Elephas maximus indicus: one gene and its partner. The protein of the gene in region 1 interacts with the protein of each later gene in a biochemical or structural test. Links are inferred from orthologs where the notes say so. Each region holds a gene or a part of one and is shown on either strand. Other genes may lie near its edges.

What was found.
Region 2: the proteins of ARF6 (region 1) and RAB11FIP3 form a complex in vitro, tested with the Homo sapiens proteins (2 studies listed by BioGRID). The link is inferred for Elephas maximus indicus from reciprocal best matches to the Homo sapiens genes ARF6 and RAB11FIP3.

The regions. Positions count from the first base shown.
Region 1 is NC_064828.1:62,170,355-62,185,157, forward strand, and holds ARF6 (ADP-ribosylation factor 6), read left to right. Parts: upstream 1-5,719; 5' UTR 5,720-5,928; coding exon 5,929-6,456; 3' UTR 6,457-9,154; downstream 9,155-14,803. UniProt on the Homo sapiens protein: GTP-binding protein involved in protein trafficking that regulates endocytic recycling and cytoskeleton remodeling. GTP-bound form plays an important role in the transport of multiple palmitoylated proteins form the Golgi to the plasma membrane.
Region 2 is NC_064830.1:57,690,613-57,705,415, forward strand, and holds the start of RAB11FIP3 (rab11 family-interacting protein 3), read left to right. Parts: upstream 1-6,472; 5' UTR 6,473-6,570; coding exon 6,571-7,125; intron 7,126-14,803. UniProt on the Homo sapiens protein: Downstream effector molecule for Rab11 GTPase which is involved in endocytic trafficking, cytokinesis and intracellular ciliogenesis by participating in membrane delivery. Recruited by Rab11 to endosomes where it links Rab11 to dynein motor complex.

The DNA of each region.
Region 1 (14,803 bases):
AGACGGATGCCAGCCATACCCATAAACACAACCTTCGATGTGGTGAAAAAACGTGAAATTGTTCACTACCTTGCCTCTTGGATAACCCACTCCAGCTCAATAAAGACGAATACCTTTCTTAAATTATACCTAACTCCAGAAGTGTTGGGATAATTTAAGGATGTAAATTAGCTCTTTCGAGTGGTGTAACTTGACCATTTTGCGTCAATATTTATTTTCAGGATCTGAAGCCATAACTATTAAGAAATTTGCTAAAATATCAACTATAATTCAATGCTTTTAGTTTTACCATTCCCAATTTTAATCTTGTTAAAAATGAGGTAATGTCTTCATACTTAAGCATACCCAAATAAATTATCAAGGTTTCAACTAAGATGTGATTTTTTTTTTTTTTTGGTTAAAGAGGAAAAACTAGAAAAGTTGGTTCTCAGCTGATATAGGGAGAGGACGATGGAGAGGACTACCATTTTGGTTTCCATAAGTGTCCCTTCACACATTTAAAGATATCCACTACTACTACATCCATTAAGGTTACGAAAATTTTTACAAATGAAAACAACTTGTTTTCATTGGATATTTTTAGTTTTTTTTGTTGAGAATCTCAATCTTTACTGTCTGTGTTTTCATCAAAATGTTTGAACTTTATTACATTATGTGCCAGGCATTATGCTAGGCACTAAGGATCTAAAAATGAAAAGGACATGGACTCTCCCTTGGAGAGCTATATAAACACATAGGTATAATACTGAGGGAAGGCTAATTCTATTGCCCCAATTAAAAGTTACAGTTGGGAAGAATTAGTAGTTTTTCTACATATTTTATTTGCTTTTTATTTCTACTATCTTATAGACTTCCTAGGACTCTGTGCCTTCTCTAAACTAGATAGAGCTCAGTTTTGAGTAAGACTGGACTAAAGGTTCAAAATAAAACAATAAACAGGGGATGGTATCTTCATTAAACAAGTATATGGTCAGTCCACCTTGCCATGGGATCACAAGTGTCCTGGCACTGAATGGGATAAAAGGAAACACGACCAGGTCATACAGAATGAGTCATTTTTAGGAGTGCTACATTGTTGACAGGTGCTGTTGAGTTGGCTCCGATTCATAGCAACCGTATGTGCAACAGAACAAAACAACACCTGGTCCTGCGCCATCCTCACAGTCTTTGCTTTGTTTAAGCCCACTGTTGCAGCCACTGTGTCAATCAATCTCGTTGAGGGTCTTTTTCGCTCTCTACTTTACCAAGCATGACGTCCTTCTCCAGGGACTGATCCCTTCTGATAACATGTTCCAGTACAAGAGACAAAGTCTTGCCATCCTTGTGTCTAAGGAAGATCCTGGATATACTTCTTTCAAGAAAGATTTGTTCGTTGTTCTGGCAGTCTATGGTATATTCAATATTCTTTGCCAACACCCTAATTCGAATGCATCAATTCTTCTTTGGTCCTCTTATTCATTGTTCAGCTTGGGTCAGGTGCACCTTAGTCTTCAAGGTGACGTTTTACTTTTTACACTTTGAGGAGGTCATTTGCAGCAGATTTGCCTAATGTGATAAGTTGATTTCTTGACTACTGTGAGACTGTCCATGACAGCCAAAGTACTACTTTGAGTATATCCCACCTGAATTTAGAGACCATCTCACTAACAAATTTGATGAAGACTAATGACCAAAGGTCAGCTGAGTTGTGGCATGACATCAAGGACATCATAAATGAAGAAAGCAAACCAAACAAAAAACCAAACCCATTGCCGTCAAGTCGGTTCTGATTCGCAGTGACCCTAACGTCATTAAAAAGACGGGAAAGAAAGAAAAGACCAAAATGGATGTCAGAAGAGACTCTAAAACTTGCTCTTGAATGTAGAGTAGCTAAAGTGAATGGAAGAAATGATGAAGTAAAAGAGCTGAACAGGAGATTTCAAATGGCAGCTAGAGAAAAGTATTATAATGAAATGTGCAAAGACCTGGAGATAGAAAACCAAAACAGAAGAACATGCTCAACATTTCTCAGGCTGAAAGAACTGAAGAAAAATTTCAAGCCTCACATTGTAATACTGAAGGATTGAGCTATAGGAATTCCAAAATAGGGGTAAACAGTCAGGGGTGCTGTTATTAGAGAAGATTCATTCTTGAATTTAAAAACAAATTATTCATTTATTTATTTTGGTGAAAATATACACAACATACTGTACTTCTACAATTTTTACATGTAATTCAGTGACATCGATTATATTCTTCAAATTCTGCCACCTTTCTCAACAACCTTTTCCAAACCATTTCACCATCATTAACACAAACTCACTGCCCCCTAAGCTTCTCATCTATCTTTTCTAGTTGCTGTTGTCATTATTCATTTTAAAATCAGAAAGCAAAGCCATTTTTAAAAAGTAAATATTTTTCTTATAAGCTGGTATTTTAGTCAGGATGTCTTAAGCTTAAGCATATTTTATGTGGATGTCAGATTAAAAATTACGAAATACGGCTTTCTATGGAAGTGTGGTTTGTAAGGAAGCTGGAGGAATCTCTTCATTTACAGACTTTGAAATAAAAGCATAGATCAATTTTTCCATAGTTAGCTTTTGGAACTTTGTTTTCAAAATTTAAAAACAGTGAAATAAAGCAAACTGAAAGGTATAATATTTTGTTCCATAAATGCCGATTTTAGTTTATCTATATTTTACCAAAAGGAAATATGTTTAAAACTGAAATTTAGTCTTTTAAAATTGTAATAACTTTAAAACTAAAGAAGAAATCAACAAAAGGTTACATCAGTGCTATGATTTAGTAGTTGTCAAAACTTACCTCTTGCAGAAGTTCTGGTTTCATTAAAATTCACTTGGTTTTTTTTTTTTTTTTTAACTGGCATGATTTTACATACAATGTTCAATTTTTTTGATGTATTTACTTTCGGACCAGTGGTTAAGAGCTATGGCTGCTAACCAAAAGATCGGCAGTTTGAATCCACCAGCTGCTCCTTGGAAACCACATGGGGCAGTTCTAGTCTGTCCCACAGGGTCGCTATGAGTCAGAATCAACTAGGTGGCAATGGGTTTATTATTATTTATTGTGTGTTATCATTATTACTTAAAATAATTCACTGTATAATTTCTAGTATGATGATCCACTTTAGATATCTAAGATAAGCCACTATATGAAAAGCTTGTCAATTGACCTATTATTTATCATGAAAGTAGTCTGTGCCTTTCCTGTCTTGTTTTGCCTATCATAAAAGACATTAATTCATTTGAATAAAGATTTAGCTACTACTTACATGCTTTCTTCTAGTCACGGGGGCACTGTACTAAATGAGACAAAGTCCCTGTCTCTGTGAAGCTTGCATTCTGAAGAATATAAATGGGAAATGACTTTTAAAAATAAATTTTTTAGTTCTAGCACAGTGCCAGTGCCAGGTAGATGCTAGTGCTTCATTGCTTCTGTTTTTAGTTACATCATGTCCTCCACTAAAAAATAAAGGCTGTTCCTTAACTATACATCTATATATGTATATACATATACCAAGCCCAGCAGATCTCCTATTTGTAAAAACTGTAATTTGCTTTGAGAAAACTATTATGTTCAAATGGATCAAAATATAATACTTGGAACTATTTGCCTCATAAGAAAAAATTCTTCCCCCAAGTATGGCCATGGCTAATGGCACTTTATAAAGCACTTAAGAAATACTGTAACTGAGTCTCAAAACAACTGTGTGACAGAGGTAGGGAGATAGCACAATTTTTGGATTAAGAGCATGGACTGTGGATTCATGATTTAATCTCAGTTCTGTGACCTTTAAAAAATTACTTAACCTCTCTGACTCTCAGTTTCCTCATATATAAAATGTTAATACTCAAAGCTACCTCGTACGTGTGCTGTATTAAAATAAAATACAATATTTGAAGTATTTAGTACAGTACACTCGATAAATGGTGGCTATTTTTTATTCTCATTAGGGATAATATCTTAACCTGACTTTACAGGAAAACAAACAGTTCATAAAAGCTGAGACTTAAGGATTCATAGTTATGAAATGGAGGGGTGACATTCAAACTCCGATCCTCTGATTCCACATCCTTCTTCGTTTTATTACAGTGCCTCTTAAGACAAATATTAAGAAAATTAGATCACTGTTAGAATATTAATAACATTAATAAACTCATTTCATACTTAAGTTTATAAGGTTTTTAACCTATCTACCATCATTAATTTTCTTAAATTTTGAAATGTTAGCACATGCTACATTACAGCATGTTTATTAAAAAAACAAAACTATATTCCGGGTTTTTTCCCTTTAAAACAAGCAAACTGATCCACTGATTCCTACTCAGAGCGACCCTACAGGACAGAGTAGACAGAGCTGCCCCATTGGGCTGCCAAGGAACTGCTGGTAGATTCAACCGCCGACTTTCTGGTTACCAAGCTCTTAACCACTGCGCCACCAGGACTCGTTTTTCCCCTTGATTGGGAGTATTTACTTAGAAACCACTACTGATCACATAAAGGAGACATTTAAATACAAAAACTTTCAGCATCCTAAAAAAGTTGAAAGCGCGGCAAGGTACGGGAATTCAAAATGCTGTAATTTTTAAGAAACGTGGGCTGGTCCTGACGAGATCTGTAAGAGAGAAGTTTCAACCAGTCAAAAGAATGGTTTCAGAGCAAACGTAGCCCGGTAAAAGTGCAGCACTGACAGATTTCTGCATGAAACACTGACCTCCCACGTGTCTTTCAGAAAACACACAGAACACAAGAGATAAAGGAGAGGCCCGGAAGGAAGTAAAAACAGCGGATAGGGCTTCCCAGGGAGACGGAGGGTGCGCGGAGTCTGGGGCGGGATGAAGGGAACTTGGAGAGCATCTGGCGGGCACCGAGGTCTAAAAGGCCTGGAAGCGGCGTGGGGGAGGTGTTCTGTCGTGGGAGCGTTTCCCCGCGAGCCCCACTATGTGGAGTCCAGGTGGATTTACTCCCCTGGTTTGGGTAGAAGTGAGGAGGACAGAGCGCGGGAGAGAAAAGCGGAGAGACGAGGAGAAGTTAGACTAGTGACAGGGGGACGCGGACCAGAATCCAAGGTTCGCGGGCCTTCTGGCGGGCCGCACCCGCAAGGCCTCCGAGCTACCGTAGCCCCGCCTCCTCCAGCGAGTGGCGCCCATGACGCTAGGCGCGCGGGCCGCTCTTCTTACAGAGGTCGCTCTTGTCCGAACGGTCGGCCTCTGCTGCGCCTGCGTAGTTGGGAGGGGAAGTGAGGCGGTTTCCTCGGCGCCTTTTCCGGCGGTGGCGGCGGCAGAGCTGGGAGGAGGAGGTAGAGGCCGGAGCGAGCCCGCGCTCGGGGCGGCGGCTGGAGGTAACCCCCCGGGTTGAGCTGGAAAGGCGGGCCTCTCGGACTCCGCTCCCTTTCGGAGCCCGGGCAGTAACTTCGCTCTTCCTCTCTGTGTTTCTGCAGGCAGCGAACCGAGTTCCCGCGAGGATCAATGACCTGACGAGGCGCCGGAGCCGCACTGCCTCTCGGGTGGCCTGGGTCGGTGGGGAACTCGGTGCTTACGGACCTCGGGCGGCCGGAGAGCCTCAGTCTCCCGTGGCTGGGTGAGGAGAAGGCGGAGGAGCGGGAACCGCGGCGGCGCTGGTGCGGCGCCTGCGGGGGGAAGGGCAGTTCCGGGCCGGGCCGCGCCTCAGCAGGGCGGCGGCTCTCCCGGCGCAGACTCAGGGCCCCGGCAGCGGCGGCGACAGGAGGAGTCAGGGTGTTCGGTTGGGGATGCCCGAGTGAGCAGCGGGCCTGGGCCTCTGCCCTTAGGCGGCAACTCCCAGCGAAGGCCGCACGGGCGCCCTCGCGGCGGGGAGGCTTCGTTTCGTTTTCGCGGCGGCGGCGGCGGCGTTGTTGGCTGAGGGGACCCGGGACACCTGAATGCCCCCGGCCCCGGCTCTTCCGACGCGATGGGGAAGGTGCTATCCAAAATCTTCGGGAACAAGGAAATGCGGATCCTCATGCTCGGGCTGGACGCGGCTGGCAAGACCACGATCCTGTACAAGTTGAAGCTGGGCCAGTCGGTGACCACCATCCCCACCGTGGGTTTCAACGTGGAGACGGTGACTTACAAAAACGTCAAGTTCAACGTATGGGATGTGGGCGGCCAGGACAAGATCCGGCCGCTCTGGCGGCATTACTACACCGGGACCCAAGGTCTGATCTTCGTAGTAGACTGCGCCGACCGCGACCGCATCGATGAGGCCCGCCAGGAGCTCCACCGCATTATCAATGATCGGGAGATGAGGGACGCCATAATCCTCATCTTCGCCAACAAGCAGGACCTGCCCGATGCCATGAAACCCCATGAGATCCAGGAGAAACTGGGCCTGACCCGGATTCGGGACAGGAACTGGTATGTGCAGCCCTCCTGTGCCACCTCAGGGGATGGACTCTATGAGGGGCTCACATGGTTAACCTCTAACTACAAATCCTAATGAGTGTTCTCCACCCATTCCCCCGGAAGGAGAGATATCAAAAACCCATTCATAGGATTATCGCCACCATCACCTCTTTCAGTTGCCACTTTCTCTTCTTTTGAATTTGAACTCTGGAGTTACTGTTCTATGGTTGGGGGTGGCGTAAGGGTTTTCTTTTTGTTTTTTTTCCTTTTGCTTTGCCTTAGGATGCTCTGATCTGTCATTTGACATGAACACAAAAAGTGCTAGATGCTCTTGTTGACTTCCAGTAAATGGGGTGGGGGAAATATAGCAATTCTTGGTAAAGCCCTTTATAATAATGGTTTGATTTTTTTATTTCGAGAGAATCTTTTTTTCCAATGTATGCTTTTTTTCTTTTTGTTCAGTTTCCTTATCACTTGCTGTAGATGGCTTATTTTGCATTCATGCAGACTCTGTTGCAAGTCTGTTTCATCTAGTAAACTGAAAATTATTGCTTAATCAAACTGCCGTTTGTCTTTTATATTTAAGGCCTTTTTCCCTCCCTTATGAGTTCTGATTTTAACTTGGTAATTTCGAATGTGACCTTTTATATCTAAGACCAGTATAGTAAATCTAGCCCACAGTGGCAAATAATGAGTAATATCGTTGTAATATGTTCCAGTTGCACATCAGTATGTTAAACAGGTAATGTAAGAAGTTCTTTGAAACGTCAGCTATAAAGTTCTGAAACATACATCATGCATGAGTAGGGATAAAACCCAAGTTCCCCATAACAGCTAACTATGCTGCATTAGACTTTGAAAGTGTAACCTGTCACGGACACAGATCTTTTCACTGCAAAGCTAGCAACTTTGCTGTGTTTTCCCTTTTTTAACTTTGGACTTTCCAGAAATTGGAGCAATAATGGTGTATGCCACACACAGATGAAGTATTTGTAGATACTTTAAGTGACTTTTTGGCAGATCTGGAAAATATACTTTTTTCTTGTTTTGAACAGCTAAGACTAGTAGATTTAAAATACTTTGTTTGTTAATAAAGCATTTAACAATTCAAATTATATGCACATTTTACTTAAAAAAAAACACATTTCCTGTTTTCACATTACAGCAACTGATTAAGCTGAACATATAAATCATTTTTTTACACAAGAGTGATCAACATCTTCATGAATTAGAACACTGGAAAACATGTTTTATAAAAAGATAATTTTGTTAAATTGTAAAATTAACTCATGCAAGTAGTAAGTCACATATCTTGTTGGTTCAGTAATATACCATCTCCTTTAAGGAAGGAAATGATGTGTAGACTTAAGGAATGACAAAGGGAAAGTAGGATGAAGAGAAAGAACCTACAGATGACAATGAATGTAAACTTACTTTTGAAGGGTAAGCAGTGTGCTCACTGGTGATATTCAGATCCTAACAAGATTACTTGCTTAACTGGTTAGGACCAGTAACTAGGTTGTTGAGACCACTATGATAATAGTTTGAACCAGATGTTAATAATGCATGATAGAGAATTGTGAAGCAGCATTTGGTTCTTATATAGCCTTAAGGATTAATTTTAGAGATCCTCGAGGAATTAAACTTAGGGAACTTCAGAAATGAAGACTGAAAAGGCAGTATACAGGAAAAGGTTTTGTTAATGAGGGTATCTGCAGACTAAAATTGAGTGGGTTATCATGGTATAGTTGGACGGTATTGGTCCTTCACGCTTTGGCCATATTGTATAATGGAGCTTTTACCAAAGATGTATGAGAAACATAAAGTTACAAAAGATGAACTATTCACAGTAAAACTCTTGACAAACGTTTTCCTTAAAGCAGATGGGAAGAGGTGCTATATTATAGCCTCCTAATGGTGCAAAGGGATTTTTGAATTTAATGTGCAACTAAGGTATAAAGTGTTCAGTTTCACTTTAGTGGAAGTATGTAGAAATTAGGCTGACAGATGCATCTAAGAATATTTTGGTTGCCTTTAAAATTCCCAAAGCTCCATCATAAATTTAATTCTTAATGTTTTAAATGATTACATTTTAAGGTCTATGAACATGGACTATACAAATATCAATGCTGTAGGAACATCCTGAAACAAGACAAGCACAAAGGTATAAATGCCTAAACTGGAGGAAACTTGAAACCCTCATGTTAATTTTTAAATGTAGTATTTCTAACTTGTGACAGATTGGTAGGCAGCCATTTTTTGTGTGTGTGTCTTAAAATAAGTGGGGACAGTTAAAATTTTATACATCAAATGATGGGTTTTGAATGTTGCAGGTGAGATGTGGTTATTTTTGGTTTATTTGAAATGTCTGACTGAAGCGGGGGGAGGGAGAAGCAAATACTTGAAAATTGGAAAACCCTAGATCCTTTGGTAAGAAATTGTAATTCTCACATTTTAAGGATAAAGAGATTTATAATTGATGTAGGTAAATCGAACCATAACTATTGGTGATCATGGCGGAGGTAATTATACGCTGCAGAAGCTATAGTCTTAAGAATTTAAGGAACAAAAAAAAAGATCTTGAAGTTTTTGTTTAATTGCATCAACTTCTGTATTTATGTGAATTTATAAACTGCAGTAAGTTTTGAATGAGGTTAATCTTGTCTAAGTAAATGAGTCTGTAGACTGTGATCTCCCCAAACTAAAAAGTACGGTTCTTGGAATTGTGTTCTTTATGGTTGTAGTGTTGGTAAAGCACTGATATGCAGAAAATAAAGGAATTACACAGTGCAGTTTCTCACGTTATGTTACTCGTTTGAACTAGATAAGTGGGGTGTGTGGTATGTTGGGCTATGTTATTTTTCCATGGAAATATGGCATAAAGTGATTTAATTTGGGAGTCTCCTGGCTTTTATGAGAACAAAAAGGGGGATCAATTTGGTTCTTGTGAATACTGGCTGTATAAGGAGTCTTGCCCTCTTAGTTCCACCAGGTTTAATCTGATTTTCCTGATGATGTAGGACACCAAAACAGTTGAAGATGATTTTTAAAAATTAACGTTCTATAGCAGTCTTTTATGCTACCGTTTGTTTCAAAATTACAACCTTGTCGTTTTTAGGAATACAGAGTTGTGTCTAAAGAGTTGGTTTAAGGAGTTGTCTTAACCCTTGACAATATATTTCTGGATTTTAAAGTTAGACCTTTTTTTAAAGGTCCAAGCCGCTTATCTGATAAAATTGGCAGAATTGTAGCCATTTAGAAAGTGAAATAGTAAACAAAGAATAACTTCTTAGATAAAACGGTTCTTTTTAAAAACATTTCCTCTGGTAAGCTTTCCTTCCTGCATCAGTAATTTTTGTAGTTTGATTTTAGACTGCTTTAATGTGATCTATAATTCCCACATTAGTATTTATTAATATATTTAGTACTGTGATTTATTAATGAATGTCAACTATTATCAGCATTAGCAATAGAAAATATTTTACTCTTTGATGGCTTTTCATGGTTTAATATAAGTTTAGAAATACAGTAGCCATAATCTGAATGGTGAAGGAGTTTAAAAACTCCCCAGAGTTATTTTCTCAGTACCTTACCAAGTGTTTGTCAGGGTTACAATAAATCCAGTCTTCTGTCTTTTCTTATAGGTAGAAATTGGCATTTGTAAAACCACGTATAGCAATTAAAAATAACTTCAAGTCTGACTGATCACTGAGCATAATGTATTTGCAATATAACATTAAGTATAAATTTAATATTCAATAGAGTTAGCTTATTTGTTTATATTGAATAGTAGAAGACAAAATTGGAAAGATTACTGTATTAGAAGTTTATAAATGAAGTGTTGGGAGACGGAGCCGTAGAAGAGGCAAAGTAACTTCTTTGCGAGAAACTTGAAAAAGCTGCTAGACTAGATCAGTGAGTTGAATGGGCAGGGAACATACAGATGAGATCAAAGAAGACAGAACAGGTCTGCAGAAGGTTAGGAATAACAACTGAAATTTGTTACTTAGGAAGCTAAAGTAATGGCAAACTTACTTTCAAGGTAATTAAAAACTATAAGAACTAATCTTTGGTACAGTAAGAAAATGCTTGGAAATTTAACCTTTTTTTGCCTTTATTTCTAATATTTTATGACTAGAAAGAATTTTAAAATCAATGTGTTCTGTTAGCCATCTTGTCCTTGGACATTTTTGCCCTTTTTAATGTATCTCATATAGGATATATGTTTCCCTCATAGTGCCTGTTTTTGAGTTGGAATCAATGGCAACAGGTTTGGGGTTTTTTTTAGTGCTTGTTTTATAAGCATGAGGGTATATTTATTAAACATATTTACTGAAAGCCTACTAATAATACGCCTGTGGCAGCACTAGGTGCAGGAGATACATCAACAACAACAACAGAAAAACGGACAAAACATCGAACTTCATGGAACTTGTATTTGTTGGGGGTTGGTGGCCTTATGAGGATCAGATGATAAGTAAATTTATAGGGTGTTAGGGACTAGGACTATATGTTATATGGTATGTTATATATAGGGGACTAGGTAGGAACATGTTCAGAGAAAGCCTCATTTAAAGGTGACACTTGAGCAAATATTTGAAGGAAGAAAATATCACCCTGGAATTGACGTAACATAAAAGATATGTGTATATCATAGGTGGGAAAACTATGGCCAAGGGTATATCTGGATGTGGCCTATTTTTCAAAGAATTGTAAGGAAAAAACTAAAATGAATATGTGACAGACGGTATGTGTGAAAACCCTAAAATATTATCTGGCCTTTTATAGAAAATATTTGTGGACCCTGGGTCTAAAGACCAGTTTTTAAGACCTTACCAAGATTTTAAGGAAATCCAACAATTTAAAGCGAAAGACCATTGTTAAATGAATAAGTTCTAATCAAAATTTTAGAAAACAGTGGCATATGTAATTAATGGAATTTGCACATTTAGTAAGCCCTGAGACCTGTTACTGATTTCAAATATAGAATAGCCTAGCCTGGATTTTTTTTCTCCCCGAGTAATTTTAAATGTGTGAAATCAGGAGTTTCTCAGTACCAATATCAATTTTAACAGTCTTTAAAATTTTGTGAATAATTTCATTTTAAGTGTTTCCCTTTTTTAATGGTAGTTTTACTGATCTTTGGATTTAAGGTAAATGCGCTTCTCTGTTAAAGAGCCCTTTCTTCCAGATAAAACCCAGATAAGTTTGGAATAGGTTCAGATAACATCACTGAACTGTGGTTTTTATTCATTTGGTGTTAACTGTATTCGAGTCCTGAATCCAGTATTTTATATTATGAAACTTTTAAAAAGGAAGTGTTTTATTGACTTGGAAACTAATATGTTGCATGATAATGGCATTACTCCTTTAACCATTATAAACTACGAGAAAACTTTACTTCACACATGAAATATTTCTTGCTTGGAGAGTTGCTCTATAATGCTTGGAACATACCTATAAAGTACTGTGTGGGAACCTAAAACTATTTAAAAAGAGAAACTAAACAATTTAGCAAGAGTTATAGAAATGAGTATTATGGAAGACATTTATAAATAAGCTCTAAAAAAGGTGAAAGCACTTGTAGTTCATAGAAAGACCCATGAAACTGGCTATTTATGGCTGATTGCCATTAAAACTGAGTAGTCTGGCCTGAGAAGGGTGTAGCAGATGAAAAGGAAAGAGACAAATTTATTGAGGGAGTTAAAGAAGCAAAGATTAGATCTTGGAGGCTTATTCTAATATGGCAAACCAAAGTGCATTCTTTCAATTATCTTTTTCTTTCTAAAAGTTAGTTGTGTGAATAAGTCCTAGGTTGTAGCCAGGCCTGAAGAGATTAAACTGGTAAACAATTTAAGAATGAGAACATTTACCGAATGTTTGCCATGTTCCAGGCATTGTTCTAAGCATTTCATGTGTGTTAATTCTTTTAATCTTCACAACCACCTTGGGAGAAAGGGCTCCCATTTTATAGATGAGAAAACAGAGAGGTACATGTTAATAATAAGTAGCAGAGCCAAGATTTGGACTATGTGCCAAACTATGATTGTGACTGAGGTGAACCAGCAGTTAATACTGTAATTGTTTTTTGTATGTGTATGTTTTCTTACAAGTGGCTTGCCTTGAGTAATCTCTCGTAATTTTCTTTGATCATGAACAGATTTTTGAGTCTCTGTAAAATTTGTGTCCCTGTTGGAGTGTCCTGTATAATGGGGAACATGATTTTAGGCTCTGTGAGACTTTTTTTTTTTTCCATTAATAATTGAATGTGATTACTTGGTAAGATTGTGAATTTTACAGATCATCATGAAAAACAGGAAAAGTTAGTTTTTACTGAGCTGATTATTTGCATGCTTACTTTTGTATATGTCACTTTTAAGAAACAAGTTTTAGAAAAATGGAACTGAATGAAATTTTATGTGTATTGAACCTCAATTATAAAATTAAGTGTGTAGTTTTTATGAGCAGTCCTTCATTGGACTGATTAATGGGAGGATAAAAGTGAAATCCAACCCAATGGCTTACTAACTTGTGTGTTCCAAAGGTCATGAGCCAACTCGACCATGACAAAGTAGTTTTTAAAGGAATTGTAATGAAATAATATGCTACTGTATAACACAGTGAGACACCTACAATGTATACCTCCATTTTGCTGGTACACACGTGTGCATGCTTGCACACATGTATACACACACACACATACTGTCTCTCACACAATTTTTTGTTATAAAGCAGCAGGTTAATTGCAAGATACTGTGCAGAGATCTGATAAATTTGTAACTACAACCACTTCAGGTATCATTCAAATGAATAAAGGAATCTCTTGCTTTGTAGATGCCATTACAGTTCACTTTTTGTAAGTGAGGTCTACTTGAAAAGAACACTATATCCCCATGTGTATATGTGGGTCAGCTAGAGTACTTTAATCATGCACATTGGGGTTTAAGCTAGAATTTAGGAGTAAAAGTTGCATGCACATTGGATTTTAAGCTGAGATATAAGAGTAAAAGTTGATAATTTTTGTAAAATCTAAAATGCTTTATTTAAAAATTCTATTTTATTTGTCAATAACTTATATGAGGTAGAAATTTAAGGTTAAAACTTGTTGCTGTCAAGTCAATTCTGATTCGTAATGACCCTATAGGACAGAGTAGAACTGCCCTGTGGAGTTTCCAAGGAGTGGCTACTGGATTTGAACTGCCAAATTCTTGGGCAGTAGCCAAGCTGGTAAGACATAAAATGTGAAATGGTCAAAGTAGGCAATTAGTCCTGTGTTAAATACGAGATAGAAGGGAGAGAGATTATATTGTGGGCTGGAGTGGGCTAAAGAAGGCCAGTGGGGATTTAGCTAGACCTACAAGATCAGAATAATTATTTATTATTATTGCAGGCTCAGCATTGTTCTGAGTATGTTCCATGTGTTATCTCATTTAAAATTCATGAGCAAAAGTTGATGGGTAGTAACATACATAGAGTATTTGGGAGACAGAATAGACTAATCTGACTAGAGTTGCCAAATTTAGCAAATAAAAATACAGGGTGCCCAGTTAAATTTAATTTTCAGATGAATAATAAATAATTATTCTGTATAAATAAATATGTTACAAACAATATTTGAGACATACTTCTAAAAAGTTATTTGTCATTTAACTGAAATTCAAATTTAATTGGACATCCTGTGTATTATCTGAAACCCCATGTCTGACTTGAGTGGAAGGAGGGGACATATGGTTCAAAATAGTCAAAAATTAGATTTTTTTTGTTTTGAGGGCCCCAAGAAATAGACCAAGTAGTTTGGATATTGTTTTGTGTGCAGTGAAGCCAAAAAAACAAACCCATTGCCATTGAGTCGATTCTGACTCATAGCGACCCTAAAGGACAGAGTAGAACTGCCCCATAGGGTTTCCAAGGAGCAGTTGGTGGATCCAAACTGCTAACGTTTTGCTTAGCAGCCAAGCTCTTAACCACGGAGCCACCAGGCTCTGTTGTGTGTAATAGGAGCCACTGAATTTTTATGTTTAAATATTAATCTAGTAGCTGTGTATGGAATCATGTATCAGTGTAATGGAAAAAGTTTGGAGAAAGAAGTCCTTTCAAGAGGTTTTGTTTACCAGGTGAGAAAATAAGGACCAAGAATGGAGTAGAGAAAATGAGAAACATGTGGGATAACAAAAGAAATTGATCGAATAGGTTACTTATGGAGGAAGAAAGAGTTAAAGTTTTTTTTTTTTAATTAAATTTAATATACATGGAAAAACATACCAATTCAATAGTTTCTGCATGTACAGTTCAGTGACATTGATTACATTCTTCGAGTTGTACAACCATTCTCACTCTACTTTTCTGAGTTGTTCCTCTCCCATTAACACAAACTCACTGCCCCCTAATATTCCTATCTAAATCTTTCAAGTTGCTGGTGTCAATTTGATTCCATATAGATC
Region 2 (14,803 bases), on another chromosome or scaffold:
TTCCCAAATGCTTGACTCTTACTGTGTGGCTCCCTTGGGCACTGGGGTCATTCCCCATGTGTCCCTCTTGGACTTGTCCACCCCATCTCCCTTTTTCTTTCCCTTTCCTTCCTAGCCAGTATGCTGTGTACCTGTCAGGGCTGGGCCACTCCAGTGGGGACACAGGAGACCCAAGAGGCAAAGGACTCTGCCTAGCCGGCTCCTCTCTCCTGCGGACCACGGTGGTCTGGGCCCTTCTACAGACCTCCCTTTTCCTTGCTCCGTGCTAACTGGGGCCCTTCTATGAAATAACTAGTGCTTCCCACCTCTGCACACAGCGAAGCACTGCATTTCATATTTACCACTAGGCTCTAGTTAGCGTTCTGAGATTAGACTACACTGCCTTGTTAGATGGGTGCAGGCTTCCAGACTCTTGGTCATTTATTACTGATTATCTCTTGGGTGATCTCTTCGGTGACAAATTTAATTGGTACACACGATTCCACTAATTGACCTCTCAGAGAATAACTTTATCTCCAATTTGAGGGGAGCGTGCCCCATCACATCTGTATGCCAGAGCATCTCTATAAGATGGGACCCAGGAGGTATCTTAAAGAAGAAGAAATGATAAATATTTTGTCAAAAAATACAGAATTAACTTGTAACTCTTCCACCATCTCATGTAACCCAGACAGTTTCACCCAAAGGAAAGGGGAATGATGTGAACTAGATCAGCACCTCTTTGGGAAATGTAACCTGTGGCTAAAAAAGGAAGTTCTGAATCTTGTACAAACCTCAGTGCCTTCCCCAATCTGTGATTCTGGTCAAGGGGGAGGCAAGATTGGAGCCAGAATATAAACAACAAAGAGCCCTAGGTGTGGTGAGGACTTGTCCACTGTAGCTGCTTTGTCATCGCAGGAAGGTGTTAGTGATTTCAGAGAGAAATGTTAAAATCATCAAAACCTCAGGCTGAGTCAGGAGGATTAAACTGTTCTTACAAACTGATGTTCCATTTTAACTCTAAGAAAGGCACTTTACCAAATTTGAAGGTGAGGAAAAAAAATCTTTCCCTACTGAATAAAATCTCAGTAAACACGAGTGGGTAACTATAGTCACAAATGCTGGAGTATTATAGGGGAGAATGTGACCTAGACTTAAAATTGACTTTGTCTGTAAGCTGATTTGCTGAATACAAAATGTTAATCTAGTTTTCAAAATTGTAAATTAAAAATATTTGGCAGGCAGTTTTTTTTTATTAGCTTTATTGAAGTAGAAGGTCCCTGAGTGGCACAAATGGTTTGTGCTAAATTACTAACCTAAAGGTTGGCGGTTCAAACCCACCCAGTGGGACCACGGAAGAAAGGCCTGGCAATCTGCTTCCATAAAGATTATAGCCAAGAAAACCCTGTGGAGCAGTTCCACTCTGTAACACACGGGGTCGCCATGAATCGGGATTGATGGCAATGGGTTTGGGTTTTATTAAAGTATAATTAACATACAATAAACTGCATGTATGTGAAGTGGTTAGTTTGATGAGTTTTGACATGCCTACACCTGTGAACCCATCACCACAATCAAGATAATGAACGTACATATCACCAGCAAATCCTTCCTCCTGCCCCTTTGTAACCCCTCCCTCCCACCCCACCCCTCTATTGCCAAGCAACTATTGATCTGCTGTCACCATAGGTGAGTTTGCATTTCCTAGAATTTTAAATAAATGGAATCATACAGTATGCACTCTTTTTTGCCTAGCTGCTTCTACTGAGCGTTATTTTGAGATTCATACATGTTGTGTATATCAGTAGCTCATACCTTTTTATTGCTGAGTGGTATTCCATGGTATGGATGTACCACAGTTTATCCATTTACCTGTTGATGAGTATTTGGGTTGTTCTTAGGTTTCGGCTATTAAAAATATAGCTGGTATGAGGATTTATGTACAAATCTTTGTAGGGCTGGTATGGTTGGATCATATGGAAGTTGTGTATTTAACTTTTGAAGAAACTCCCAGAATGTTTTCCAAAGTGGTGCCATTTTATATCCCTATCAGCAGTGTATGAAAGTTCCAGTTCCTCCACATCATTGCCAACACTTGGTATCATCAGTCTTTTTAATTTTAGCCATTCTGGTGGGTGTGAAACAATAGCTCATTGTGGGTTTAATTTGATTTTCCTTAATGACTAATGATGTTGAACATCTTTTCATGTGGTTATTTGCCATCCATATATCTTTTTTGGTGAAGTATCTGTTTAAATCTTTTACCCATTTTTAAACTGGGTTGTTTGTCTTTTTGAGTTGCAGAAGTTCCTTACATATTCTAGTTACAAGTTGTTGTATATATGTTTTCAAAAAGTTTTTTCCAGTCCTTGGCTTGTCTTTTCATTTTTGTAACAGTATCTTTTGAAAAGGTACATCTTGAGTTTTAAATTTTGATGAAGTCCAATTTATCCATTTTTTTCTTTAATAGTTCATGTTTTTGCCTTATTTAAGAAATCTTTGCCAAACTCAAAGTCACTAAGATTTTCTCCTGTGCTTTTCCTAAGGTGTTTTATAGTTTTAGTTCTTACATTTAAATCTATTATCCATCTTGAGCTAACTTTTATAGGGTGAGGTAGGGGACTGTCTTAGTTATCTAGTGCTGCTATAACGGAAGCACCACAAGTAGATGGTTTTAATAAAGAGAAATTTACTTCTTCACAGTAAAGGAGGCTAAAAGCCCAAATTCAGGGCGCCAGCTCCAGGGGAAGGCTTTCTCTCTCTGTCAGCCTTCTCATCAATGTTCCTCTGGAGTAGGAGCTTTTCCATGCAGGGACCCCAGGTCCAAAGGACAGGCTCTGCTCCAAAGGACGTGCACTGGTTTCTTGGTGGTATGAGGCCCCCCACCCCTTTGCTTCCCTTTCATTTTTATCTCTTAAGAGATAAAAGGTGGTGCAGGCCATGCCTCAGGGAAACTCCGTTTACATTGGATCAGGGCTGTGACCTGGGTAAGGTTGTTACAATCCCACCCTAATCCTCTTTAAGGTAAAATTACAATCACAAAATGGAGGAAAACCACACAATACTGGGGATCATGGCCTAACCAAGTTGATACACACATTTTTTGGGGGACATAATTCAATCTATGACAGGGACTAAATTCACTTTTCTTGCATCTGGATATCCAGTTGTAACAGCACTGCTTTTAAAAAAATTATTCTTTCCTCCTGGAATTGTGTTGGTACTTGGACTCTATTCTGTTCCATTAATCTCTATGTCTATCTTTCCTCCAGTAACATGCTGTTTTGATTACTTTAGCTTTACAATGAGTCTTAAAAATCAGACAGTTTAATTCCTCTAACTTTTCCCTTGTGTTTCAAGGTTGTTTTGGCTATTTCAGCTCCTATATTATTTTCTGAGGGGTGCTGTAACAAATCACCACAAACTCGGTGGCTTAAAACAATTGAAATTTATCCTCTCATAGGTTGGGGGCCAGAAGTCCGAAATCAAGGTGTCGGCAGGGCCATGCTCTCTCTGGAGGCTCGAGGAATGATGGATTTGACCACTCAAAATTAAAGATTTCTGTTAACAGAGGGCCCCCACAGAGTTCATGGATGGAGATGATACTTGCAACATCTAAAACTGATAAGGGATTTTAAGGAAGTTCAGAAAACCCAATAGAAAAACAAGCAAGGGATACAAGTGGGCAGTTTGAAGAGGTGGAACCTGAGTTGGTCAATAAATAAATAAATGCTCAACTGCACTAGCATTAAGATAAGTGCAAATAAAAGGAGATAGCATTTTATATTAATCTGACTGTCAAAAATGTGGAAAATCATATATAACCAAACCAGTTGCCATCAAATCGATCCTTACTCATGATGACCCCATGTGTTTGAGTAGAGCTGCTCCATGGGGTTTTCATGGCTATGACCTTTTGGAAGTAGATCACCAGGCCTTTCTTCTGAGGCACCTCTGTGTAGGTTCAAACTGCCAATCTTTTGGTTAGCAGCATAGTGCTTAAGTATTTGTGCCACCTAGGGACTCAAAAAAATCATATACAGAGTCTACTATAACTTCGGTGTACTTCTTCCAAGTTTAAAAAAAATGTGCATAAAAAAATTAATCTGTGATTGAATTGAGCCTGGCCTCTGAACCTGACCCTCTCCTGGACACAAAGGATTCTGTCTCTCCTATCAGTGACTGAGTACCAGGTGATGAAGTGGCCCTTGGGGAGACATGCTTGCCCTGAGGTTTCCTGACCCTTTTACCCCTCCCTATGCCACATAGCAGGAATCTGCTGAGTCACCCAGGTTGGTTTCATCGGTCCCATCTTCCTCCACAAGCCGAAGTTCACTCAGGGAAGAGGGATAAAGGAAACCCACCTGCCCAACCAGTCCCAAAAGGTGTTTCTCCCAAGCATCCTTTCAAAAGTGAAGCTTTACAGAGGGAGCTTTTCACAGGAATTCACCTGCTCTGAAAACCAACAGATGTGCACTGCACCCCACCCTCCCTTCCTCTTTTGTGTACCTTTTGTTGTGTTGTTGTGTGTGACCACACAGAGAACTGCCTCATACGGTTTTCTTGGCTGCAATCTTTACAGGGAGCAGATGGCCATGTCTTTCTCCAGCAGAGTCGCTGGGTGAGTTTGAACCACTAACCTTTTGATTAGCACCAGGGTGCCTTGTGTGCTTTTTTACCTTTCTAAATATATAAATAAACGTGAGAAGGGCATTGTCAAAAGGGCGGCAGAAGCGGCTTCCTATTGCTTCTGGCTCATTTAATCTGGGCTGGAATGTTCTCGATTGAAATTTTACATGGACCATGAAGGGGACCCACTAGAATCTGAGTGAATAACCAGGAACTTACCGCTTTTAATTTTTCATGAACAGAGTTCTCTCTAGGTAGTCTAAGCAGGAAAATGCATGCTTTTGATGTCGCCATTGTGGGCACACCAGAGGGTAAGGCAGTCAACATTTTCCAGGGAGGCGCAGCGCAGAGGAGTGCCCGTCCACCCAAGCAGCCTTACCCTCTGACAGAATCTTACATAGAAAGCGTCACCTCACCCACACCAACACACCTATTTATAAAGGATGATGTGTCAATAAAACTGCCTCTGAAAAATGTGTCTGAGACCCATCAGCCCAATTTCCAATTCTTGCCCTAACTGGAGATGGCTTTTTCTTTGAACCCAGTATTTTCCACATGAAAGCTTGCAGCTAGAACACGGAAATGAGAATATATTTGGGGTGAGGGAGAAGGAAATCCTCTCTTTTCCTTTTCCAATGCCAGCCTCACAAAATCTGGTGCCCTGGGGTTTTGTATGGGAAATGATTCATTAATTAACATACTGCTCCTCAAGCATGTACTTAGAAACAGCGTGGTTGGGTTTCATTTGGCTCTTGCCAAAGCTACATACGAAACCATATATGGTGCCGGTGCCCACGGTATATAAAAATACGAGCTCATTATCTCCCCTGATACACTCCATCACTGGCTAAATATAGCGCCGCCTGGCCTCACAGCTCACCTGCTCCTAACCAGCACGTCTCCAGTTCCATGCCTGCCAGGGGTGCCTGGCTCCCCAAGGATGGCAGGGACACATGAAAAACAGACAATTACCAAGACAGACACAGCGCTCGGGAGGCGTGATGGAGACGCGAGTGTAACTCTGGCCGTCGTGTTTTTAAAAACCTTTGCCACAGGTTGAAACAAATGTCTCGCTGCTTCTGGATGCGTTCCTTCGGTTCCGAGTGGGAAGGGCCGCACTTTCCGCAAGAACGCCTACCTCCACCGCTCTGCGCGTGACCTCGGGGGCATCCCTCAACCTCGGGCACCTGCTTGAAGAACACCTGCTTCCTCAGGGAATGTGCGCTCCATTCCGTTTGGGTTTTGCTCTTTGCTGATCAATCTGTGCGCGCGTCATACGCAGGAAGGGCTTGGCTCCTTTGTGACATGTGCACAGTTTGGGCTTTTCGCTTGCCCCTTGGCGACATTTATCTGATGGGTGCGTAGGTCGCCGTCGCGCCCGCTGGGGCCCTCGCATGCCCAAACTTCGAGGATGCAGGGAGCGAGGGAGGGTACCCACAGGCAGACGGCTAAGCTACAGGTCTCAACCAAGACTGTCGGTTACCACCCAGGGCCAGCAGCAGCACCTCCGACCGGAACCTGGCGCCGACTTTCTTCTATATGGCCTGGGAGGGGCGGGGTCTGCAGACGCCGAGGCGTTCTGACGTCATTCAGGCGGGGGCGGGGCCAGGGGCCCCGGCGGCCGAGTCGGCTCACTTGGCATTTCAGCTTGTTCAGGCGCTTTGGCTCCTCCTCGATCTCCTCCGGTACCGCGCTGCCCTCCCGCCTCGACCCCTCCGCGGCCTCCTCGGGCCGCTGCAGCCATGGGCCCGCGTCCACCGCGCCGCCAGGCCGAGGGCAGCTGAGGCGCGGCGCGAAGATGGGCGAGGGTGGAGCAGGGCCCGAGCGCCAGCCGGAGCAGCCCGGGCGCCCCCGCCCGCGCCGCCGCCGGGATGCCCGCGCCCGCCGCCGCGCCCTGAGCGCCTTTGTCCGTCTGTGGAGCCGCCCGCGCCGCCGCAGCCTCGCCAGGCCGGCGCCGCGCCCATGAAGATGGAGCCGGGCCCCGCGGAGCCGCCGGGCGAGGGGCCCCGTGCTGGAGCATACCCCGGGCCGGGCGGGAGCCCGCGGCAGGAGCCGGACCCCGGCGCCAGCGAGGACACCTGCTCCGACGCCGGCCCCTTGGGCCCAGGAGGCGGCCTTCCCCCGCCGGCGTCGGCCTCCGGTCCCGGCCCCGACCCGCCTCTGCCGGAGCCCGGCCCGTTCTTCCCCTGGAGCGCGGAGCCGGGGGAGCACGTTGCCCCGAGCTGCCGGGAGAGCGCGTGTCTGCGCGTGGAGGACCTCGAGTCCCGCCGCCAGATGAGCTCCCAGGGAGGCTTTTTTGCGCCCTTCTCCGCCCTTGCGGAGGGCGAGCGGACGCTGGAGGGCCCGGGGCCTCCGCACCAACCCGGTCAGACGCACCCCGGGCCGAGCGAGCCCGCGGGGGCTCCGGAAGATGGTCCCCGCCTCCGAGCCGTGTTCGAGGCCCTGGACAGCGACGGGGACGGCTTCGTGCACATCGAAGACTTCGTGCAGTTTGCCACGGTCTACGGGGCCGAGCAGGTACGGGGCCGTGGCCGTCCTCCTGCAGTGTAGTTCGGGGGCAGACGTCCGCTGGGGTCGTGAAATGCTGGTTAGGACTTCGGTACCTGCTTTTCCTTTTTATTCCGCTCTTCTGCCTTCATCTCTGGTTTAATTTAGCTAAAGCCTCTTCCCCCTTATAAAAAAGGGAGTTTTATTTCAGGGACCTCGTTTTTTTCCCTTGCCTGCCCCCCAGCTCTACACAGCTGGATTCGTCCTAAACTAGGGTTAGCTTGTGGCCCCCGCGGCATCCCCCGAAGCTGCCTAATGAAGATGCCCTCCCTCTCCCCAAAGAAGAAGGCCCACGGTGGTTTCCCCAGCTCTCTGCCTTGGCTGAAGTAATGCACGAAGTGTTTTGGGTTAGGACCGCAAAGGCCAGGCTGCAGGCCCTGTTAGACCAGACCAATAGACCCCGATTTTGAGCAGTTACTTTGCTGTGTGTTGTTGGCATATATTTTACTTAGAATTGGCCTCTTTTATTGTTTAGAAGACAGGGGATGCTTGTAGAAAGTCCTTGGAGTTAAAAATTTTGACTTCTGTTCCTTTTGTGTGGAAGGAAAGGGAATGAGCCTTGGGGCACCCTGGGGAGTGCAAAGAGCCTGCAGGACTCCACCAGTGCTCCCCTCCCCCCCCCCCCCCCCCGCCCCACGCTTGTAGGCGGAGTGAGACTGTAGATAGGTGGAGAATGCACCTAGTGCTGGGGCTGCTACAGCCATTCCTCTCCTGTCTGTGTCAGCACTTAGGAAAGTTTAAACCTAAAACTGCCGTCGAGGCAATTCCGACTCATAGCGACCCTATAGGGCAGAGTGGAACTGTCCCATAGAGTTTCCAAGGAGTGCCTGGCTGATTCGAACTGCTGACCTCTGGGTTAGCAGTCATAGCACTTAACCACTACACCACCAGGGTAGGTGGAGACAGAAGCAGGCATGTGTGTTCTGCTAGAAATCCAGTGGTTAGCACATAGCTCGCCAGTGTTCACTTTTAAATATTTAACTTGGTAGGAAATCACTTAAGTGCTAATCTGCTGATTTTCATATTTTCTTCTCATACACACAGACATTTGTTAAGTGGCTGTTCAAGTACATATGCATGTTTGAGCCAAGGTGGTCTTTAAGAAGAGGTAAAATTGACACCCTGCTATTAACCTTTATGAGGGATTTTGAGCTCCCAGAGTATTTACAGTTCCTATTAAATTTTTTTTTTTTTTTTTTTTTATTGAGCAGTCCAAGTAAATCAGGGCTTCTTGCTGACCTGACAGTCCAGAATGATGTGCAGGTATGTGCTGGGCATCCTGAACATTGTTGGTGTCAGTGTAATGACCACATGGCATTTCTCAGAGCAGGTCTCCCATCTCTTTTTCGAATGGGCGAAAAGCTATCCAACCAATAGTTTCCTGTATGTTTGTCATGGGTTGTGGTTGCTGGCCTGAACTCTTGATATTTTCCTTCTTGCCTCTAGTCCCAGGAGCACCTTGGGTATCCTTGGTTGTTGTTTACTAGTATGATGTATCTTTTTTATCCAAACATGTGCTCTTGCTTCGTTACACCAATCAAAGGCCTTAGGAAAGCATCCTGTTTGCTCATCTTTACCAGCCCTGACTCCGGTAGAATAAATACTTTATAGCTTACATGATGCTCTTTGTCAGTTTCACTGGATCCTCATCATGAGTCTCTGAGGTGGTAAGTAGGCAAGCAGGAGTCATCTCCACTTTACAGATAAGAAACTGGAAAGCCCAGAAAGGTTAAATAGCTTTTCCAAGTCCTCAAACTAGTCAGTGCTAGAACAGGGACTATAACTAGGTCTTTCTCTCTTAATCCTTCTTACATGGTTTCTACTTCTTATATTTAATTGGTGGCTCAAAAATATCCCTGCAAACCTTTATCTTTTGATTTCCGTAAAGCTCTTTTCACTTGAGAAACATCTCTTGTAACTTTGATCACAGTGGGAAAAACTTTGGGTTGCTCTTTAGGGCTGAGCTTTCTTATCATTACAAAATAGAAATGAGTCTTTGCTCCTTTGCTCTGACAGTGTCTGTTGGAATTTGAAGTTTGGGGGCAAGGCCAGATGACTCAGGGGTTGGAGAGACCAGAGAATGCAGAGGAGCTTCTGTCTGCTCTTCCAGACTGCTCAGGAAGAGGACTGTTGGAAGAGATGCAGATGTCTTGACTTGGATTTTCCTCGTTGAAACTTGTTCTTGGGGTGGTGGAGGAGAGCTCGTGGTTTCTTTGAGCTGTTTAGGTTGCTATTTTGGAGTAGATAATTTACAGGGTAATGAAAAGTTAACTTTTATGTCCATTTAAGCTTTTGCCAGCCCTGGTGGTGTAGTGGTTAAGAGCTTGGCTGCTAACCAGAGGGTTGGCAGTTCGAATCCAACAGCTACTGCTTGGAAACCCTTTGGGGCAATTCTCCTCTGTCCTGTAGGGTCGCTGTGAGTCAGAATCAGCTTGAGGGTGATGGGTTTTTTTAATTGTGTTTCAGGCTTGTTTTTACCTAGTCCAACGTCAGCGTACATTATAGAGGAGCAAAGAGAAGAAATATTCTCTTACAGTGAAGGAGTTTAGAGAAGTCCACCGCATGATGATAATTTCTAAACTTTTTAAATGAAAAGTCTTAAACATACACAGAAGTAAAAAGAATGAAACCCCATAGCCATCTTCAGCACTCTTGTTTCATCTCTAAGCTCACCTGCCCCTACCCCAGGTTATTTTTGAAGCAGATTCCTGACAGTAGGTCATTTCATCCATAAGTACTTCAGCATACTTCTCTAAGAGATAAGGTTTCTTTTCTAAGCATTCATGATTATTTTAAAACTGTACGAACAGTTCAGTTAAACAACAATCAAGACCTTAGGTTTTTGTACTTTCCACCTTGCGATTTCAAAATATGGAGTGCAGGAGACTCAAGCCGGTCACATTACTGTCCTTGATGAAAGCAACTACGTTCTCTTGATTATTATTAAGTTTTCAGAGGTAGCAAGTTCAGTATCCTCTATATAATCTGTTTATGAAGGTAACATTCTAAATTATGTAAGTGGATTATCTGAATTTTTAATAGAAGCAGTTCCCATTTATAAAATACAGATGGCTTTTGTGTCCCTTTTTTTTTTTTTTTTTTTTTAGTGGTGTCAGGTGTGTTTGGATTTTATTACATCATCTGGTGGTAGATCAGGTGTGGTGTAGTGTAACACAGTGTTAGCAGGAGTCAGCAAAAGAAAGGACAGAGAGGACTCCAGGGGAGCTTTTTGGTTGTGTCTTCTTGAAGCAGGAATCTGTAGTCAGTTTTGTCCAGGCATTAGTTGTGGAGCTGGAAAAGGTTATTTATAAGGCCTCGACCATTTCTTTTTTTTTTTTTTCTTATTTTTATCATGCTTTAAGTGAAAGTTTACAAATCAAGTCAGTCTCTCATACAAAACCTTACATACACCTTGCTATATGCTCCTAGTTGCTCTCGCCCTAATGAGACAGCACACTCCTCTCCACCCTGTATTTCCATGTCCATTCAGCCAGCGTCTATCGCCCTCGGCCTTCACATCTCACCTCCAGACAGGAGCTGCACACATAGTCTCATGTGTCTACTTGATTTAAGAAGCTCACTCCTCGCCAGTATCATTTTCTGTCTTATATATAGTCCAGTCCAATCCCTGTCTGAAGAGTTGGCTTTGGGAATGGTTCCTGTTTTAGGCTAACAGAAGATCTGGGGACCAGGACCTCTGGGGTCCTTCTAGTCTCAGTCAGACCATTAAATCTGGTCTTTTTTACAAGAATTTGAGGTCTCCGTCCCATTGCTCTTCTGCCCCTTCAGTGATTCTCTGTTGTGTTCCCTGTCATGGCAGTCATCGGTTGTAGCTAGGCACTATCTAGTTCTTCTGGTCTCAGGCTAATGTAGTCTCTGACATATGTGGCCCATTCTGACTCTTGGGCTCATACTTACCTTGTGTCTTTGGTGTTCTTCAGTCTCCTTCGCTCCAGGTGGGTTGAGACCAGTTGATGCATCTTAGATGGCCGCTTGCTTGCGTTTAAGACTCCAGAAGCCACTCTCCAAGATGGGATGCAGAATATTTTCTTAATAGATTTTATTATGGCAATTGACCTAGATGTCCCCAACCCCCCGCCCCTGTTACGCTGGCCTTTGAAGCATTCAGTTTATTCAGGAAACTTCTTTGCTTTTGGTTTTGACCGTTTCTGAAGATTCTTTCTGACATGACCCCTTCATACTGAGAGGACTAATGCTCTTGTAATCAGAACCAACCCATCATAAAGCAGAAATTATAAAATTAATTCTAAGAATGTGTGAGAAAGTATAGGCTTCTTTTTGTTTTATTTTTCAAAGGAATTAAGTATAATCTTAAAGACTGCTTACACATTTTATTGGTTTAATCATTTACATTTTGATAGTCACCTTGAGACCTTTCAGAGAATCCTGCACGTTGAAGCATTGAATGCCCTTCAGTAACCTTGATAGTCATTGTCTGTCTTTGTCAGTACCTGTAAGAAGTCAGCTCCTGAAGTAAGTGTTGACGCTCAGAGGGTCTCCCTGCTTTTCATTTGTGCACCTTTGGTGGTGGGCATTTGGTAGTCCCTGGGACATTTGGGGAAACCCTGGTGGCATAGTGGTTAAGTGCTATGGCTGCTAACCAAAAGGTTTGCAGTTCGAATCCACCAGGTGCTCCTTGGGAGATCTGTGGGGCAGCTCTACTCTGTCCTATAGGGTCGCTATGAGTTGGAATCAACTCGATGGCAATGAGTTTGGTTTGGCCGGAGGACGTTTGGCTGTACCTTTTAGTTATTTCAGGGTCCTTTCCTATCTGTTTTAACCTTGAGATTGAGTGTGTGTGAGCATGTTTGGTGTGTGTGAGGATGTCTTTGTGTGTGGAAGGTTGTAGTGTGTGTGTATGTGTGAGAGAAAGACAGAACAAGGGCAAGCAGGTGTATGTTGGAGCTGGTATGAGTGGGTGTGGAGGGATGTATGCATGTGTGTGGGAACTGGTGTATGTGTGAGTGAAAGGGCGTGTATGGGAGCAGGAGTATGTGTGTGTGGAAGTGGCATGTATGTATGTGAGTTACTGTGTATGTGTGTATACCTCTGGGTCTGTGTGTACATAGGCTAGTCCGTGTATTGGTTGAATTACTAAAAGACAATGAGGTTCTTTTCTGTGTTAGGATTGCAGACAGTTTTGTCAGTGTCTTAAAAAAAAAAAAAAAAACCTTTTTCAAACATCAGAATAGAAACTAGATAACTGGGAGCCCCTAAAAATCAAACACCTATGCTCATCCAAAGACTTCACCAAAAGAGTAAAAAGATTACCTACAGACTGGGAAACAGTTTTTAGCTATGACATTTCTGATCAGCGTCTGATCTCTAAAATCTACACAATACTGTAAAAACTCAACTACAAAGAGAGAAATAACCCAATTAAAAAATGGGCAAAGTATATGAACAGGCACTTCTTTACTAAAGAAGACATTCAGATGGCGAACAGATACATGAAGAAATGCTCATGATCATTAGCCATTAGAGAAATGGAAATCAAAACTACAACGAGATTCCATCTCACTCCAACAAGGCTGGCATTAATCCAAAAAACACAAAATAATAAATGCTGGAGAGGTTGTGGAGAGACTGGAACACTTACACACTGCTGGTGGGAATGTAAAATGGTACAACCATTTTGGAAGTCGATTTGGTGCTTCCTGAAAAAGCTAGAAATAGAACTACCATACAATCCAGTAATCCCACTCCTTGGAATATATCCTAGAGAAATAAGAGCCTTTACACGAACAGATATTGGCACACCCATGTTCATTGCAGCACTGTTCACAATAGCAAAAAGATGGAAGCGACCAAGATGCCCATCAACGGATGAATGGATAAATAAATTATAGTATATGCACACAAGGGAACACTGTGCATTGGTAAAGAACAATGATGAATCTGTGAAACATTTCATAACATGGAGAAATCTGGAAGGCATTATGCTGAGGGAAATCAGTTGTAAAAGGACCACTTTTATAAGAAATTTTTTTTTTCTGAGACCACTTTTATAAGAACTGGAGAAATAGTTTAAACAGAGAAGAAAATATTCTTTGATGGTTATGAGAGTGGAGAGGGAGGGAAGGAGAGGGGTATTCACTAATTAGATAGTAGACAAGAACTATTTTAGGTGAAGGGAAAGACAACACACAATACAGGAGAGGCCAGCACAACTGGACTAAACCAAAAGCAAGAAAGCTTCCTGAATAAACCAAACGCTTCTAAGGCCAGCGTAGCAGGGTGGGGTTTGAGGACCATGGTTTCAGGGGGCATCTAGGTGAATTGGCATAATAAGATCTATTAAGAAAACATTCTGCATCCCACTTTGGGGAGTGGCGTCTGGGGTCTTTAACGCTAGCACACAGCCATCTAAGATGCATCAATTCATCTCAACCTACCCAGAGCAAAGGAGAATGAAGAACACCAAAGACACAAGGTAATTATGAGCCCAAGAGACAGAAAGGGCCACATAAACCAGAGACTACGTCAGCCTGAGACCAGAAGAACTACATGGTGCCCGGCTACAACCGATGACTGCTCTGACAGGGAACACAACAGAGAGCCCCTGAGGCAGCAGGAGAGCAGTGGGATGCAGACCTCAAATTCCCATAAAAAGACCAGATTTAATGGTCTGACTGAGACTAGAAGGACCCTGGAGGTCATGGCCCCCAGACCTTCTGTCAGCCTAAGACAGGAACCATTCCCAAAGCCAACTCTTCAGACGGGTTGGACTGGACTATGGGATAGAAAATGATACTGGTGAGGAGTGAGCCTCTTGGATCAAGTAGACACATGAGACTATGTGTGCAGCTCCTGTCTGGATGGGAGATGAGAGCGTAGAGAGGGTCAGAAGCTGGCGGAATGGACATGAAAATAGAGAGTGGAGAGGAGTGTGCTGTCTCATTAGGGAGAGAGCAACTAGGAGTATATAGCACGATGTATGTAAGGTTTTGTATGAGAGACTGACTTGATTGGTAAACTTTCACTTAAAGCACGATAGAAATTTTAAAAAAAGCTTTTTTCATATTATAAAAGTGACGTGTTATTTAAAAAACTGTACAGAGTGGTATAAAATATAAAATAAAAATGACTAATAATCTCATTATCCTGAGAAAAATACCATTAGTATTTTAGTATATTTTCTTCCAAATTTTTTGTTGCTTATACACACATGACTATGTATAAAATTACACAAATTGAGATCATATCAGGACAAAGCTTAATTGTTATTACATTCGTTGCTTAAAAAAAAAGCTAGATTATAGGTAGCAAAAGAAGAAAAACAAGAATCACCTATAACCCCACCATCCAGAGAAACTACTGTCACCATTTTGGTGTTTTCCTACAGAATGCATATATGCAAATTAAAATATATTTCAATTGCTTCATTGTAGAAAACTGGTGTAATTCATATCTTTTGCTTTGATCATCCCTTTAGGTCCAAGATTTTTAAATTGAGTGTCTCTGACATCAGGTGTGTATTTTAATGGATGCCTGAGGTTTACTTGTCCCCAGGAAGATTCAGAATTGTTAGGGATTATTCCAGTTTAGGATTTAACATGTAGGAAGGATTTAATTCCATCTAGACTGTACTGAAAAGGTTGTAAAGGACATCAAGTTTATGGATTGC